Nothobranchius furzeri: one gene and its partners. Each later gene encodes a partner of the first gene's protein in a complex. Links are inferred from orthologs where the notes say so. Each region holds a gene or a part of one and is shown on either strand. Other genes may lie near its edges.

Region 1 (4,209 bases):
TGTTATGAGGCAAAGCCAGGCCGCCTGTGTAAACAGCAATGGCTGTCAGGACAACGGCTTCCGTTTCAGAAACCTGGAAGTGTTCAACCGCCATCTCCTGGAAACGAACAGGCAGCATGTACAAAGCTGCTCCTGTCAGGTGGCTGATGACCAGAGGAGTCAACACCGAAAGCACCCCCGTACTGGACTGTGGGAAAAGATCATCATTAAACAATATTTGATTAAAAAAAAAACAAATGTTTTATATCACTTTTTTTTTTACATCCAACCTGTTCTATATCAGCAACACCATCCTCATTTCTAGACGGTGGAGTCGCAAGCTGAACCCACAGGTCTAAAGCCTGAGGCACAGTCAAGGTGTAAAAACGAGGATCGCAGAGCCTTGATTTAATCAGTTAGAACTTTTTTTTCTCTTCTGGAAACCTTCACCTTAGGTCAGCTGAAAAGGAGTGAGGAATTATGATGCAAGGATACGCGAAGTAGTAAAATAACAGCAAGGAGGCCAAAGGCTGGCATGTAGTATCCGATAGAGACAAAGTGGGACAGCGACGGCATGAGATAGAAGAAATATGACTGGTGAAGACGCTCCAGGAGGTTGTTCAGCTTACGATACATCCCTTCCAGCAATCTAGGAGACAAAAGACACAAATACTGTATATATAAATGTGCTTTTGTAATGAACAAAAAGTCAGGACTGAATTATTCAAAATGCAACTATTGCTGCATTTGAGGTCTGCAAAGAACTTTCAAACTTTGTTCTGATTTGGGGTTTTGACAAAAAAAAAAAAAAAAAACTTTCACAATAACTCTAACCGGCCAACGGTGGTGGCATCGGTCTTGTACTGTCGGAAGCTGTTGATGCCCTTGATGGTGGCGGCCTCTATGTGGTAGCGCAGAAATAGTCCGTGATCTCCCCAGGATCGCCCACTGGCCTGCTTCATCACCATAAGCATCATGGTCTGGACTGCATGGCTGTAGCCTGACACGCTGTCCCAGTCGTTCCTCTGAATCTGCAAAGGCATTCACAAATTAAAGCAGGTCACCTCACTGGTCTGCTAACTAAATACCGCACACATGTTCACAAGCCTTTACCCTGCCCTGAATGGTGCACAGGACTCCGATCTTCTGACAAAAGGCATAGAAGAGATTTGCTAAATCCAGGTTGGGTAACTGGCCATTGAGGCCTTCCAGTACTATGTCCAAACTGGTGACGACATCACTGCTGAGCTCCAGGGACAGCGCCGCCTGGATTGAACCGCCACGGCCTTGCAAGGGAGACCAGTCCATTCCTAGAAGAACCATAAAACAAGAGAAATAAAAATATACAGCCTTTTGTTTTCTGTTTCAACATAGTCAGGAATGAATGTGAATAGTCACCTGTGGTGTTGGTGTGGTGGTAGCCCTCCAGCCAGGCCTGCATTCCAATCAGGTCGTGCTCGTTCACAAGAAAGATGATGTCCTTGGCCCAGAAAACTTGATCTAATACACAAAATTAACTGAACCAAGAAATGCAACAGCAGCATCGTTCCAGTGTTGGCTAACTGTGCCAGAGATGGCAGCAGGTGCTGGACTTACTTCGGAAGTAATGAGCCAAGCCAAGCAGCAGTCCCACAGCCTGGTTGTTGTCATCGCCAGGGCTACAGGGAGCACTGAGAACCAGCGCTTCAGTTCGGGGAGCTCTAGGTGCTCGAAGGATCCCATAAACATTTGTACCTTCCACAATCTGAGAAGAAATGTTGCAAATAAAATAAAAAATCATGTATGCATATGTGCAGAACAATTATATGTGATTTCCTGCCACAAACGTACATATCTTTCATTGTTTTCATCAGGGAAGGGTAGTGTACGAGAGAATCTCTGTGTGAACACCTCCAACCCTCTAGCTTGCATGGTTTTCACTAGCCAGTCCACTGGCATCCCACTGCAGAGACACAATGTTATAAGAGTCTAGTGGAGTGTGAAATTGTTGTTATTAGGCTGGCGCAGAGGTTTAATAAAAAGTCAAAAACACACCCAACTTTCTTCTTGTGAGCACCAAACTCTTTGGCTGTGGCCAGAGCACGTTCCCCTGCAGGGAAGCGCTCCTCCACCATGGTGGATCCCATGGCATTCTCTGACATGTAGGTTCGCAAGGTGAAAGGCTCGAATGACAACCCCATGAACCAACACACAGCAGCAAAGTAGCACAGTACACTGACAGGAAGAGGTGAGAGATGATGATGTATAATGCAAAATACTGAAGAATTGCTGTAATATCAGTTATAAAGAATCTCCCGGTATTTGGCACATACCAGATTGGAGCGTTGAGGCGGGTCAAAAGGCTGATCAAAGCCCGTCTTCTGTTAGGGTCAGACAACAACCCCATGTTGGGCGGCTTTGATTGGAGCTAGAAACCTGGATCCAACCGGAAGCTCTAAAGGATGCACGCAGGCAAACAAGAGTAATTAAAATTATACGTTAAATTGACCGATAGTTGTTGTTGCTAAAAGGAATAAAGACGTGTTTATTAAAATGGTCCCAGTTTCTATATTAATTTAGTTTTCCATAAATAATAGTTGGGGTTATTTCTGCCATTCATTGTCAGCTGAGGTTAGCTTCCTGCTAGCTGCTTGACAAGCAGGTTTCTCAAAACTAAAAACGTCCGAAATCGTAAACCTTAAAAAATGCATTATCATTTCAATGACACAAATGTAATTTTAAAGGTAAAAATAAATACATCAGTCTAGTGTTCACATTCACCTGCAGAAGTAGGGCTTGATCCGAACGGGAGCGGTCTAAACGTCCGCGTTCCCAGTTCCTGTGGGAAGGCTAATGCCGCGGACCAACTTCCGCCCAATAAAAGAAAATAAAACTTTAAAAATGCAAGTAGTTTTTACATTTTAAGAAAATTTTAAAATAATAATGAATCCAAAAGAACGCGTTAACCAAATTTGGGACCGATGGTTATAAAAAGCAAACATTGCAAATATTTTCCATTATTAGTTTTGCTAATTGTATCTGGATTTTAGAGACCACAAAATAAATTATATTAAATTTCAAACACTAAATTAATTTTTTACTCTAAATACTTAGGCACCCCCACTTTTGATATGCATATTTCCAATGAAAGTTTTTATAACTTGTGGACACAAAATAGTGTGCACACATTAAAATTAATAATAAAAACACAGCAAGATTCCCTGAAAATGCACATTGTAATAAATGTCAAAAATTTTAAAGGCCTGACAAACATTTGAGAATCCTAATCAAATACACCAGTTTAAAACTCCCTAACCATTTAGACAGATTTGTTTGAAAATAATAATAAAGAACATTTTTTTAAATCTCCAGCTTTACAAGCTGCCAGTCAACTTCAGGGTTTTTGTCAAGATCCTGGTCGTTTTTAGGCCCTTACATGAACAAGCACATTCATACAGTGGTGATCTTCTTAATCTCTACATCCCCAGCAGGTTCAGTGATCAAAGTCTACTGGTTGTACAGCGCACCAGGCTAAAGACCAAAGGTGACAATGATTTGCTGCTGTAGACCCCAGACTCTGAAACTCTCTCCCCCTGAGCCTGAGATCAGTGGACTCAGTGGTCTCCTTCAAAAAGAAGCTGAAAACTCACCTGTTCAGGCTGGCTTTGGTGTTACCTTCATCACTCCCTCTCCTTATTCTGCTCTACCAACTCCACCTCTCCCAGGATCCACTGATTTTCTTCTTTCTTATTCATTTTCTCTTTCCCTTTCCTTATCCTTTCCTTTAATCACATATTTTTTCTCATTTTAACCATATCTTCTAATCATTTTATCTATTAATATTTAAAATGTATTTTTCTTGTGAAGCAACTTGTGATTTTTATCATGAGGCGCTATATAAAAGATCATTTTCTTTCTTTCTAATAATTACTATTAATGATCTGTTATTCAGAGTTAACAGAACTAACAGAGACTACATGTCTATCGAACAAGAGTCAGGAGAAAAATCAAAGAGAAGATTTCCATTCACACATTTATAGGTCTGGTTACAAAAGGATAAAGAAATGCAATGAAATATTATAAAATAAAGAAAGAGTTCAGAGATTCTCAGTCCAAACGGGCTCCACTTCATAATTCATTACTCTCCGGTGAGCACCGATGCTTCTTGAAGATGCTGCCTCACCACCTCATCCAGCACCTTGCTCACACCTTTACAAGCTGTCGTTGCAGCTTCAATCAGTGCTTCCAGGT
Region 2 (4,230 bases), on another chromosome or scaffold:
TATTTTCCACACAACGACTCCACATGAGACGGTCCAGCTCCCAGTCGGCTAATCCTGAACTTCCACGTGGTGCCACCAGGAAGCCGGGGGGAGGGGGGGATGACTGCACACCCAGCAGGAGTCTGGCAGGGAAAAAAATTAGGAAACTTTGTACACGGGCAAGAAATATTAAAATGTTTGCTAGGAGAGTGACGCTTACCGAAGCTGAGCGAGAAACACTCCCATGACTTCAGCCATGTTGATGCTGATGTCAACAGGAAGCTCAGCCTCTGGCTCATAGAAACCGTTCACATTATAAACCTAAAGAAATAATGGATAGACTTTTTCCCCATCATCACACCTTCACTGCTCCGATGGGTGTTTTCAATAAATAACAATCTATTTTCTTTCATTCGGGTGAGAGAAAATTAAATATTTTACCATAATTCCACCCCAACGAGGAGAATGAAACGCATTCGAGGGCACTTCCTGTTTCCTATGATCCTGGATTTTAAGAGGGGAATGGTGAGCATCAGGAACGTACAAAAGGAAATTCAGCACTGGGTTGGAAGATGCAGCATTAGAACCTGGAAATCAAACATTTTTATGTTATCATAAAGCAACACAGTGGATTCAAATCCCTAAAATTCCTATTTTACCAAGTCTGGCCTCCACCGGGTTGATGACGTGTGCGAGGCTGTCTGCATTTAGCGTGTAGGCATCGCAGCTGCTGTCAAAGCGTGGTTTGACCCCGAGCACAGAGTAGTACAACGTCTGTAAGAACACAAGTATAGGGTTGAGGGTTATCTTTTGACGTGCTCTGCGCCTGACTGAATGTCCACCAAAACGGAGTTTCATACCTGAGAGTCGATGCTAAAGTTGGCCACGGGGGAGAGTTTTGTGAGCAAAGGCTGGATGTAGGTCTGCACAGCACCTTCGATGTCCCAGTGGAGCTGGTGTGACGTTGGGTCGGGGTTCAACAGACTAAATGTTATCTCATAACCTAAAGGAAAATAAAAATAAACAGAAAACAGAGTTTTTTTCACACCAACTTTAACCACACCAACTTTATTCATGGCTGAATAAAAGCCAACCTGGGCTGGATTTGAAGGCTCTCATGCTATCAGCAATGCCCTCTTTGCTGTCTGGGTTGAAACGGACTCGGTCACTGAGGACAGCAGAGACGTCGGTGTGGCTGAAAGACATCACTTGCAGCACCTGTTTGATGCGAGGCTCCAGTTGGGCCAGGAGCTGCTCGAGTGTCCTACCCACACCCACCTGGGAGCTGACACGAAGCAGAGCAGTTCGACGCTGACCGATGTACACATCTGTGTCCTGCAAAGCATAAAAACACGTCCGAATTTTTCACGACACGGGTCGAAGTAAATAAGGAGCAGAGTATAAAATACTAGCAGATTTGACCTTAGGCAGCAATAGGGACAGCTCTGGGATCACATAAAAAACCAGAGAACCGCACGGACTCTCGCTGAGTGTGTGCAGAGATTCATCTGCTCCTAAAAAACAAGACACAGAAAAATAACTGCGTGTAATTTCACCAAACCATTCATTTGAGATTTAACCTTTAACTGACCAGCAGCAGTGGGCTTGTTCAGTGCATCCTCCTCCATGATCGTAGCTGTGCGGTACCTCGTCTCAAACCTGTACCTTAACATTGTATCTCCTGTAAGCACAACATAAACACACAAAATGAGCATGCACGCTTCATCCTCCGAAACAACCTCCTAAACCACTTCATTAAATCACCGTCCACTGCATGTTCCTCTTCCTGTGTTTGTGTCAGTGGAACCTTCTTCTGCTGCTCGGGGGTCACAGTACCACGAGCAAAGACGACCTCTACGTCAGCGCTCAGCTGGAGCTGCAAAACAGAAAAAATAAAACACGAATAAGCAAACTCCCACGAGACAAAAAGGTTGTTTTAGGAGTCAGAAACTAACCTGTAGCTTTGCCAGCTGTTTTATCTGACTGACAGGTAACCAGGCACGGTAGGTTTCTGTGGTTCGCCACCATAGAGGGACTCCAACGATGATCACCACAGCTGCTATGGACAAAGCAGCAAGCTGACCTCGTCTGCGCTCTGAAAGAAAGACCAACACAGAAAAGAGTTCTGCTACAGAAATTCTACAATGGATGCAAAATGTCTTGTAAGAAATTACCTCTGCCTATTTGTTTGTGTGTTACTGATGTGTCAAATACTTAATCTATTTCTATCACTAAACTTAGAATCACTTCACAGTAATATTAACTGATGCTATTAAAATAAATAAATGGTTGTAACTACATAAGAACAGGATAAAAACACAACATTTTATTTCCCTTCATTAACATCTAACTGTGTACAGAAGCAACATGTTTTCATCGATTAGTTTGGGGTTAACTTTGGCATTAAAATAATAAATAAAAATTATAAGCTAAATAAACTTTGAACCTATTAGATTTTTTCATGGATGCATGGGTTTTATTCAGCTTATTATAGAAGAACAGACGGTTGCAAATAAAAATAATTGTTTAAAACTACATCTAAAACGAAGCTAGCTGTTATAAATGCACATTTTCCTGGAAACCACAATGCTAACGCGAGCTAGCGCTCAACAAAAATGGTTCTTAACGTCATGAAAACAAATGTCTCCAGCTAAAAGTGAATGTAGCTACAGGACGTCTTAAAAAGTCTGTAAATGGACCCCAAAGTACAGTTAAATTTTTTACTCTGACTAAACTAAAATGTTAAAACATAATGTGACATTCTATCTACTCACCCACTTCCGCGGTGGCCATTATTTGCAATGAACCGGGTGTGCTCGGTTTCATCACCAACACAACATTGAGTCACGTGACACATATTTCATCTGACTCAGACAAGAATAAAGGAGGTAATATATATATATATATATTCAATTAAAGTTTATTTATATAGCGCCAATTCACGACAAGAGTCGTCTCAAGGCACTTCACAAAATAAACATTCCAATTCACAGTTCATTAAGCCAATCAGAAATAATGTGTCCTATATAAGGAACCCAGCAAATTGCATCAAGTCACTGACTAGTGTCAGTGACTATACAGCAATTCTCATACTAAGCAAGCATGCAACGACAGTGGAGAGGAAAACTCCCTATTAACAGGAAGAAACCTCCAGAGGATCCTGGCTCAGTATAAGCAGCCATCCTCCACGACTCACTGGGGATCGAGACGACAGAACACACACACACACACACACACACACACACACACACACACACACACACACACACACACACACACACACACTCTAATGTGTCTACAGTTCTATTGTGATGTCTTAGTAAATATTCTATTTGGTGAGATAAACTTTATTGTATTTATCCTAGTGGATCTCTAAATGGGTAAACTAGCAGTAACACGTCTATATATATATATATTAAAAGTACAATAATTTTGTGATAAATGTATTATTACACTTGGAGAACTGTGATTGCTTCAGAGACAGAAAGTCATCGGGCGATCCTGAAAAAATATTAAACACACACGTGAAGGGGAAACTTTCGCCCCTTTGTGACAGTTTTAATTAACGTCACCTTTAGTGATCACATTTTTTTCGTATCACTGACTTGTCTTGAATACCTTTAAACCTGCAATTTAAGCATGTAACACTCCCAGTTTGACTCGTTCATAATAAGCAGCTTTAGAAGAAAATCAGAAGGATGTAGCAGGTAGTTCAGGGTGTTCTTTTCAAAATACTGCTACTAGAACCGTTATTATTTTAACACAATAAACTACAGAATACTCTCCAACTGTTTAATATTCCTAACATTCAAGCCAGCTGCCATTGTTGGTTTAAAGGTAAGGAAGTCCTAATGTTATGGTTCAATAATGTGTACATATGAATAAGCAACAGTAATGTAATATTAGTAGCAGGAGTTTCTTGGATGCATAATTCATCTAAAAAGAGTAAATCATATAAATAATTAAAACAAGATGAACCCAGGTTGTGAATTACTGTTTATTTTCTCCACTATACACCGACTGTTTTTGGGAATGATTTGAACATCACAAACACCACAGTACTCCAACAAAGCAGTGCCCGTCTCTGCCCCGCCGAGCCCACAGACAAATCCACACAAACTCATTTGATCTCTGCTGTGGGGATGGGCAGGGGCGAGACAGCCGCAAGGGGAGGGGTGACACAAAAACCACATAACATCAATACTTTCACACAACTAAATACATTACCTACGGAGTGTCATTTAAAGCTGT
Region 3 (4,284 bases), on another chromosome or scaffold:
CAAAAATATCTGCGTTTCCATGTTGGGGATGAAAAAAAATTAGGAGAACATGAGAAGTCTAACCTGAGGGTTATCCGTGACATCGATGTATATTTTACTGGACGAGGCCAGGGGGCAGGCTTCTGTTAGCGTTCGAGAAAACATCTTGAACAAAGACCACTCTGAAACAATAAAGCAGAGAGTCAGCAAAGACCAGAGTTGTGTTACCTACACTCAAACATCAGCTGAAAGCAGGAAGATCAATTTTATTTTCTCACCTCGTTTGCCCTGTCCAGATGTGTGCAGGTCAAAAACAACATTCAGCGTCTGTCTCAGCTCCCAGGACGTGGTTTTACACTCCCGATCCTGACACACGGGTCGTATGTGGACGGTCTGGGAAAAAAAACTGCTGTGGAAGAGTTTCTCTGACTTCAACAGCACAGCGAGACCAGCCTGAAAAGATTTAATGACCACACACACACACACACACACAAACCCACAAAGTGTTGGCTGGTTTAACCCACAGCAGAAAGCTGAGATAAACAAAGATGTTTACCTTGGATCCACAGGGCAACAGCTTCTTCCAGGGTGTCAAATTCTCAGTGCAGACTATTTCCCGCGGGAGGGTGGCATAGCGAAGGAATCGATGGTCTGTCTCTTAAATTTCAACGTGGTAAACAGAAATCAGAGGGTGAAAGTGCATCCTGGACAGAGACCCAGCCCTCGATTCGCTGTATCGCTTTTACAACAGTGTCGTATCTTTAAACTCAAATAAAGAACATTAAAAATGATATTTGTAGCAAAGAAATAAAACACATAAAAATAAGGTTATGGGGGGCTGAGTAGCTTCACTGTACCGTTGACGATTCCCAGCGGTTTGAAGGAGGCGCTGGGCTGAACGGTGTTGGTGGAGTCGATGAAGTTCAGCGAAGCACAAAATATTCCTGAAAGAACGTTGGTCAGCTCCTTCCATGCAGCGTCCACACTGAAGTGTTAGAGAAACACGAAAGAACGAGCTAAACCTGGTGTGTGGTTTCAAGTTTAAAAAGTTACCCGGGACGTCACTATAAAACAAATGAAGAAACTATAAATATTGTAATAAATACATATCCAAATGTTGACTGGATTTAATGGTTTCATTTATAATCAGAAACACAAAGACGATGAAAGAGAACTCATTTTTTTATTATTAATATTATTATTTTAATTATAACCCTCCCACTGCCTTCATGGGTGACCCCGCGAGGAAAGTTGACCATTGAGCAGAATTGATGGTTTATCCCTTGAGGTCCAAGTGGCAGGGATGCCTGCTCAATGGTCAACTTTCCTCACGGGGTCACACCCATTAGGACAGTGGGAGGGTTAAAGTAAAACTCTCACTCAGTAAAAGCAACTCTAATGCTCTGCCTCCATCACCGGCCTGCACTCACTCTGTCACTGAGTCCTGGAACCAGACCCAGAGCTCAGCTCCTGGGGGGGACGGGAGAAAGGGCTGCCCCCACTGCATGGTCCTCCAGTAGCCCTGTGTGAAGGAGATGTGCAGCTCTCGCACTGAGAACTTGGAGATGACCTGACCCAGAGATTTGGGAAACAGCCTGTAGTGGGACACTGAAAAAAAAAGAGCACTGTTTAGTGTTTACAAAGTCAACCTGACCATGCAGGAACATATCGTGCTAGATCGTCACAAATAATTCAGTTTACAAATGGGATGTGAGGCTAGAAGTCACAAACCTAGACTTTAAATTAAAATTGGTATCGAGCCGATATTCAGATATTTAGATGGGAATTGGGCCGATATTCAGGATGATCAGCGAAACGTTTGACTGCCCGATCCGAAACTCAAAAATCTGATTTTTAAATAGTTCTATCTATGAAGACACCAATTCTAAAAAGCAATAAAATAATTAGCATTTCTCACAGTTTATGACCAATCTTCCATGTGAAATTTTATGACTCAAAGTTAAAAGGTTTGAAGTAAATAAAAACTCTGTTCGCTGATTCAAAGATGAATCACACAAAACTGGCTTTAGCAGGTCAGAGTTCAACATGAATAAGAAACTGGTATTGGCCCTCAAAACCTGAATCAGTGCATGTCTGGATCACAACGGTGAAGACCTTGCCAAAATGGAAACTTTGAAAAAGATTTCTAGATTTTGCTTACAGAACCTTCGGCTAAAGTGTGAATATTATAACTGTCAGTGCTGCAGCTTCACGGGACAACGTAAAAGCTGGGATCAGATCATTCAGGCAACACCGGATTCAAAACAAGCCACGCTTTTCAGATCAGGAACACCTGTCAAAAACTGGAAACACTTTTATTTATGTTTAAACTGAAGCAACGGCAACATGTTTTAACAGAGGACTGAGATCATGCGTGGTCTCCGAAAGACGCAAAAATCACGCACCTTTGTTTTCTCTCATGAAATCTGTTTCCCACAGGGTTCGAAACTGGAAGCTGGCATAAATATCCCCCGAGTGCAGCGGTCTAATGACCAGCTCCTCCTGAAAATCATCTTTAGGTTGCGGTGTAGGTGTCAAGACGAAAGTGTCTGAAGCACGAACGCCCAGTTTGTCTGCTGCAGAATCACCGAGTGCAGCTTCATCCACCTCGGTAGCTTCCCACCGGCCCTCCTCGGCTGTTTGTGTCGCTGATTCCGCGGCCGGCTGCGGATTATCAGCCGTGTTAGTATGTTGCTCATTGACTGGGGTCGTTTGTTGACTGTCTACAAATAAAAATACAGACAAAATAAAAATAAAAACTAGCAAATTCGAGCACCTGTTAACATAAGCTGCCATTTTTCGACAATAGTAGTTTACTTCCGTCTTTTGTGTTATGCACAAAACTAGCCAATAGGCTGCGTGCAACTAGAGTCACGTGACTATGGCAACTATCAAGAGCCAAAAGTAAGAATGCATTTGTTTATTTATTTTTAAGTACCATGAGTTGATCTAAATGTGAAATCTGAATATATGAATATTTGATAATAAAATTCATTAATTTAAAACAAATACATTTATTTCGTTTACAAAAATCAGTTATAAGCATTACCCGATTTATTAGTTACTGGCTTGGATTTTACTTTGAAATATTTTGCAGGAAGTGTATGTGAAAGCACAATGAATACCTACGGTAACGTATGTCCCTCTCCTTCTCCTTATATATATATATATATATATATATATATATATATATATATATATATATATATATATATATATATATATATATAACTTATCTTGAGAGGCTCTATATAAAATGTTGTTTCTTCTTTTAAATGGTTAAAATAACAAAAGTGTATTTCCAACTTTTTGATACTGGTGGGCGACAACTCTCAACTCCCATTATCTAAATGGATTACCTAAACAGAGTGTTATTCTAACTTCTAGCCACTGGAGAGTGCAAATAACATTAAGGCAATAAAACAGTTTGTAGCTAGCTGTAATGCACTTTGACTCCACACAATCATTGTGTTTAACACTATTGCCTAAAAACTGTTTTAGGGGTATTTTTTGCTAAATACTGAAAAAAGGCCTGTTGGAGCCAATTCCCCTACCAGCGTCAAAATGGCTTAGTGTTTTATTTTGAAAGAGTTTACAGGAATTGTTTCTGATAAGTAACTTTTGTAACTTTATAAATCAAGCTCCCTCTTCATTTTCTACACTTTCTCCTTCTTCTTTTATTAATTTTCTCAAAAGGACAAAAACAAATATTGGGATATATATAAGAATGTATAGAATGTATGTATGTATATATATATATCAGTTTCAATGAGATTAGTAGGCTAAAATGTTCTTTTGTAAGTGGGTAACAGAACAAGTGTAGTTCCAGGCTTCCAGCTTTTTGAGATGTATTCTAAAACAAACAATATATGAGCACACAAAAAATAATTCAGTGAAGATTAGAAAAGAAGAATGTATGAAAAACAAAATAAAAGATAGCCAAAGGATTGATAAAACTATGCCTAAGAATTAAAAACTATAAAAGCAGTAAACTTTTTCATTTTTATGGACAATTAAACAACTTAAGATTTGTTTCTGGCTGGCCTCCATTCAGCAGTTATTTTTTCTAGGTCTGGCATTGAAACAAATTCTGCAGCTGATCCATTACCACATTTAAAAAAATTTTGTGAATTAAATGGGGCATATAATGCAAAACTCACCTTCTAGTCTGAATTCATTTGTGCTGCCATGTGATCCCCACCTCTGTCAGGGTGTCCCAGGGTAGCTATTCACCACCAGCGTGTTAAATAGTGTGTGAGTCGATGAATGGGTCACTAGTGTAAAGCACTTTGGAGTCCTCTGACT
Region 4 (4,100 bases), on another chromosome or scaffold:
TGTTGTGGCTCTCTCACCATAAATGTAATTTCTGCATAATCCACCAGAAAGTGGAAGAGATAGATGACGAGAGGGGTCTGGAGAAAAAACAAAAAGGTTATTTGGAATCAAAATAGGAGCATATGATGTAAACTTGGGTTGAGGGTTGTGGCAAATGTCAAATCATTATTTTAGTTTAAAAGTAAAATAATGATTTTTCATATTTAAAGTAAATTTTCACAAAAATGAAACAAAACATGCTCTCTATGTTAAAGCAGCCCTAAAGGAGGGGGGGGGGGATGCTGTAACATATAGGTTAATTATCTACCTTATGCTAATAGCTGCTAATAATGCTAACCTAATGCCACAGCTGACAGTTAACCTCACCATGATGTAAATCACCAACTCATTTTGAAGTTATGCTAACAGACCAACACTGAAAATCCTCACCAAGTAAGAACATCTTTACTTCTACTTGTTTTTTTGGGGGGAGCCTAAGCCACACCCACCCACTTCTGGTCCATGGGTGTCCCACTGCTCCCAAAAATGAATCGGAGTCTATGAGCGGATAAAAGTTATTTTCTGACCCTGTTTGATATGTGCCACGGATTTTACATTTGACGTCCGTGAATTTTAAAGACACATTTATGCCAAGACTCTGTTATTCGCTATTTTCGAACAGTGATTTTAGGTTTTGTGTGAAAAGACATTTAGGACTACAATTGTGTCTCACCATATTGACATCATTGACATGAGATTCAGACATGGAGAAGAAAATGGCTGTGTATTTTGCAAGCTTTAACGCTCTCTTCCAGGATGACAGAAGGAGCATTAAACATGGAGAAAACCAGGGCAAGCATTTCAGTCCATGTAGTAAGTGCGTAGTAAGTTCCTCTCCGTGGGCTGCCACCTTACCGTGGTGGAGGGGTTTGAGTGTTTCAATGATCCTAGGAGCTAAGTTGTCTGAGGCTTTTTGCGTCTGGTAGGGTCACCCATGGCAAACAGGTCCTAGGTGAGGGATCAGACAAAGAGCAACCCAAAGACCTCTTATGATGAATTATATAAATGGAAACTGTGTTCCCTCGCCCGGACATGGGTCACGGGGGCCCCCCTCTGGAGCCAGGCCTGGAGGTGGGGCATGTTGGCGAGCGCCTGGTGGATGGGCTTTCACCCATGGAGCCCAGCCGGGCACAGCCCGAAGAGGAAATGTGGATCCCCCTTCCCATGGGCTCACCACTCGTGGGAGGGGCCAAAGGGGTCAGGTGCAGTGTGTGACGGGTGGTAGTCGAGGGCAGGGACCTTGGCTGTCTGATCCTCGGCTACAGAAGCTGGCTCTTGGCACATGGAATGTCACCTCTCTGGTGGGGAAGGAGCCTGAGTTGGTGTGTGACGTTGAGAGGTTCCAACTAGATATAGTCTGACTCATCTCAATGCATGGCTCTGGCTCTGGAACCAGTTTCCTTGAGAGGGGTTGGACTTTCTACCACTCTGGAGTTGCTTCCACTGAGAGGCGCTGAGCAGGGGTGGGCATATTAGTTGCCCCCCATCTTGGTGCCTGTATGTTGAGGTTTACCCCAGTGAATCAGAGGGTAGCCTCCCTCCGCCTACGTGTGGGGGGACGGGTTCTGACTGTGGTCAGTGCTTATGCACCAAACTACAGTTCAGACTACCCACCCTTTTTGGAGACCCTAAATTGAAATTCATTGCCGTCCACATTAAACCTTAGTCTTAAAAAATTCACAACATGAATAAATGTCATTAATCGTCTTAAAATTTCTTTCATTTGAAAATACAAATTTTCAGAAAAGGCACTTGAGCCATTGCCCTGCCTTCTTCTCAAACTTAACACGCAGGAATAGATTGTGGGTAACTGTGGGTCACCCAAGTCCACATTGATACAGACCTGGGAAAAGTGCAGATCAAGGGTGCAAAATGAGCTTGGTCACTTCCTGCACTTGAAAATCGGGACACCCTATGCACTTGCACCCCTGGCTGGGAACATGATATTAAAAGGCACAAGTGTGGAGGTGTGAGTATTGGGACTGGGCCATAAATACCATAAATACACAATAATGTGATCAGGCCCTGAGTGTGTTGCATCCAAATCGATCTGGGCAGCAACATTTCCCAATCATTCTGATAAATAGTTTGTGACAATCCTACTATTATTACTTTGGCAGATTGGCAACACATTTAAATCCTTGAGGATTTGAAATCAGCTCATCACCTAACCCCTAAAGCAGACACAAATGCTGTCATGGCCTGATAACATGATAGGTATTTAATGTGCGGATCTCCTACCTCATGGAACACATCTCCTGAGTATGGTGAAACTCCAAGATCAAGCAGTGCCAAACCCTCAATAACTGCAAAAAACAAACAACATCTGTGTTATCCTCTATGGTAGAGCTAATATCATCAATCACCTTGTAATGATCTGGTTTTACTTTACAGGGGCTGAAGCATGACACATGTAGCATCCACACACATTATTCAACATTTTTATAAGAAATCAGCACTTGTCTAGGCTTGTCTGGATTTGTTTTTGCAAGCCGATCAGGACTCTCCGTCTTTTGTATCGGAACTGGTTTGACTTGACAGCATCGTTCAGACGAAGATGCAGGAAGGAACCGGAATTTTAACCGAACAACTGGGATCCGGACGACAGCCGCACCCGCGCTTACCTCGTTTCCAGGCGGTAATGGGTGACACCACCTCCACCCGCTCCGCGATTACCTCCGCTAGAGAGGATCTGTAAAGAGCCGCGCGGATTGTAACGGCTACAACTAAAAGTAGAGTCAAGGGAGCCGCCATCTTCACAAGGAAGCGCTTTCCGCCCTGCCGGTACAAGGCATGATGGGAAATGAAGTATGTTGTCTAAAAAGACAACTACATAAATAAAACAAAATAAAGTTCACATAAACTATTATTCGTCTTCTATTTTACTTGAAAAGGCATTACGTTCTTGTAAAATTCTGATCATAATTATTTTTTGTGTTTGGTTTTTTGCACATTTTATAATTTTTTTTTGGATTTCATTTAGAACACAGATGTAATACAGATCATTTTCATTACTTTTGTGTAAAAATACTCAGTACAAATATCTACAGAATGTATCTATAAGAGTGTTTCTCAATGTCAAGGCGCCTGGCCTTGCAACGAATTTTTTGCGGTGCTTTTACATTGAAATCCCCAGACAGGAAGTGCTAGAAGTTTCTAGGTTGCAAATGGGAAGACTTTCGTTTTCTTTTCGTCGTTTTGATGCTGTGTTGATGTCGAGACACTAAAGAAACATGGCAGGCTTGGAGGTGTTGTACACCTGTGTCGCAGGTAGCATCAGCTGCCCGCATGACGCCGTTGTGTGCTTCGTTCACTGGGAAATGATAAAGAATGGATACAGGTGTATCGGGTCTGGAGATGATGTGAGTAAAATCGGCTGTTTGAAGCTGGGTCAGATTCAGATGATGCAGAAAATGGACAAACAGTAACCTGACCTGTTGACCTGGTTTGTTATTTTTGTAACAAGGGTTTCACTATTTATGCTTCATAAAAGAAACGAACAGACAAAAGATCAGACATGAAATTACACGTTATTGAAAAAGTACAAGGTTTTAATTAAACTAATAAATGCCGATAGATCAGCAGTAAGATATTGTACAGAATAATAATGTCATTTACACAGTTTCTGACGTGATTATTTTATGTTATTGAAGGAGACATTAAGCAATCGATTTTCTAGGGGAACTTGCGCACGCTAACCTGCTATTTTGAAGTTAGCTTTAGCTTTCCAAAAGGGTATACTTTTCTGGATTTAGCTAACTTCGCTGGATTATAATGTCTAGGAGACGTCTTTTACTTATTTTCAATCAAATTGTTTCATTTAAACCCAATGATTTAAAGTAACGAACTGTCAAAACAAAACATGTCAAGTCATCTTTTAGCAGGTTAAACTAACTCACTCTGTGGGGCTGGGTCACATTGACGCACATCAGATGATTTAATAAATCTACTATTTTTTGTTCATTAACCCTTTGTTTTTTCTGTTATTCGTTTCTGTTCTTGTGTTTTTCATCCATCCTCTTCTGCAGCCTCGTAGCAGTGATAAGAAGTCTGAGCTTCTA

The links.
Region 2: gpaa1 (region 1) and pigs share a complex: the UniProt entries of both Homo sapiens proteins name them as parts of the GPI-anchor transamidase complex. The link is inferred for Nothobranchius furzeri from reciprocal best matches to the Homo sapiens genes GPAA1 and PIGS.
Region 3: the proteins of gpaa1 (region 1) and pigt are in contact, whole or in part, in a cryo-EM structure (PDB 7W72), measured with the Homo sapiens proteins. The link is inferred for Nothobranchius furzeri from reciprocal best matches to the Homo sapiens genes GPAA1 and PIGT. Residues at the interface, in NP_003792.1 of Homo sapiens: Arg97, Ser98, Val99, Gly100, Glu102, Tyr104, Arg134, Ala135, Pro136, Arg137, Ala138, Ala139, Ser140, Thr141, Glu142, Arg171, Gly172, Gln173, Ile174, Tyr199, His200, Asp201, Val202, Leu212, Gln213, Gly214, Arg215, Ala218, Arg311, Tyr312; in NP_057021.2 of Homo sapiens: Gln91, Gly92, Phe93, Arg95, Arg97, Tyr98, Ser108, Phe211, His212, Thr213, Ser214, Asp247, Phe249, Ile250, Arg340, Gln355, Tyr357, Val358, Ser359, Gly360, Tyr361, Gly362, Leu363, Leu371, Tyr373, Lys441, Asp459, Pro460, Asn461, His462.
Region 4: the proteins of gpaa1 (region 1) and pigu are in contact, whole or in part, in a cryo-EM structure (PDB 8IMX), measured with the Homo sapiens proteins. The link is inferred for Nothobranchius furzeri from reciprocal best matches to the Homo sapiens genes GPAA1 and PIGU. Residues at the interface, in NP_003792.1 of Homo sapiens: Gln245, Leu310, Arg311, Arg313, Phe358, Leu359, Ile371, Ala389, Leu390, Trp393, His397, Leu500, Ile504, Leu508, Cys512, Leu515, Thr516; in NP_536724.1 of Homo sapiens: Tyr349, Ile355, Phe356, Cys360, Ile363, Val364, Leu367, Leu368, Val371, Leu372, Leu375, Ile377, Tyr378, Ala379, Gly380, Ser381, Phe386.

The regions. Positions count from the first base shown.
Region 1 is NC_091751.1:51,171,942-51,176,150, reverse strand, and holds the start of gpaa1 (glycosylphosphatidylinositol anchor attachment 1 protein), read right to left. Parts: upstream 2,827-4,209; 5' UTR 2,740-2,826; intron 2,414-2,739; 5' UTR 2,366-2,413; coding exon 2,292-2,365; intron 2,194-2,291; coding exon 2,014-2,193; intron 1,922-2,013; coding exon 1,810-1,921; intron 1,724-1,809; coding exon 1,576-1,723; intron 1,480-1,575; coding exon 1,378-1,479; intron 1,290-1,377; coding exon 1,093-1,289; intron 1,011-1,092; coding exon 814-1,010; intron 629-813; coding exon 475-628; intron 342-474; coding exon 270-341; intron 188-269; coding exon 1-187. Other genes in the region: exosc4 (exosome complex component RRP41), read right to left, coding at 4,097-4,209. UniProt on the Homo sapiens protein: Component of the glycosylphosphatidylinositol-anchor (GPI-anchor) transamidase (GPI-T) complex that catalyzes the formation of the linkage between a proprotein and a GPI-anchor and participates in GPI anchored protein biosynthesis. Binds GPI-anchor.
Region 2 is NC_091750.1:65,604,302-65,608,531, reverse strand, and holds the start of pigs (GPI transamidase component PIG-S), read right to left. Parts: upstream 2,844-4,230; 5' UTR 2,806-2,843; coding exon 2,754-2,805; intron 2,722-2,753; exon of another isoform or gene 2,154-2,721; intron 2,075-2,153; coding exon 1,935-2,074; intron 1,856-1,934; coding exon 1,744-1,855; intron 1,661-1,743; coding exon 1,571-1,660; intron 1,494-1,570; coding exon 1,402-1,493; intron 1,315-1,401; coding exon 1,074-1,314; intron 983-1,073; coding exon 840-982; intron 754-839; coding exon 639-753; intron 567-638; coding exon 421-566; intron 301-420; coding exon 200-300; intron 123-199; coding exon 1-122. UniProt on the Homo sapiens protein: Component of the glycosylphosphatidylinositol-anchor (GPI-anchor) transamidase (GPI-T) complex that catalyzes the formation of the linkage between a proprotein and a GPI-anchor and participates in GPI anchored protein biosynthesis.
Region 3 is NC_091755.1:30,371,361-30,375,644, reverse strand, and holds the start of pigt (GPI transamidase component PIG-T), read right to left. Parts: upstream 2,821-4,284; 5' UTR 2,776-2,820; coding exon 2,385-2,775; intron 1,588-2,384; coding exon 1,410-1,587; intron 965-1,409; coding exon 837-964; intron 637-836; coding exon 536-636; intron 433-535; coding exon 258-432; intron 162-257; coding exon 64-161; intron 1-63. UniProt on the Homo sapiens protein: Component of the glycosylphosphatidylinositol-anchor (GPI-anchor) transamidase (GPI-T) complex that catalyzes the formation of the linkage between a proprotein and a GPI-anchor and participates in GPI anchored protein biosynthesis.
Region 4 is NC_091743.1:68,645,016-68,649,115, reverse strand, and holds the start of pigu (phosphatidylinositol glycan anchor biosynthesis class U protein), read right to left. Parts: upstream 2,835-4,100; 5' UTR 2,794-2,834; coding exon 2,664-2,793; intron 2,346-2,663; coding exon 2,281-2,345; intron 78-2,280; coding exon 18-77; intron 1-17. Other genes in the region: psmf1 (proteasome inhibitor PI31 subunit), read left to right, coding at 3,273-3,401, 4,068-4,100. UniProt on the Homo sapiens protein: Component of the glycosylphosphatidylinositol-anchor (GPI-anchor) transamidase (GPI-T) complex that catalyzes the formation of the linkage between a proprotein and a GPI-anchor and participates in GPI anchored protein biosynthesis.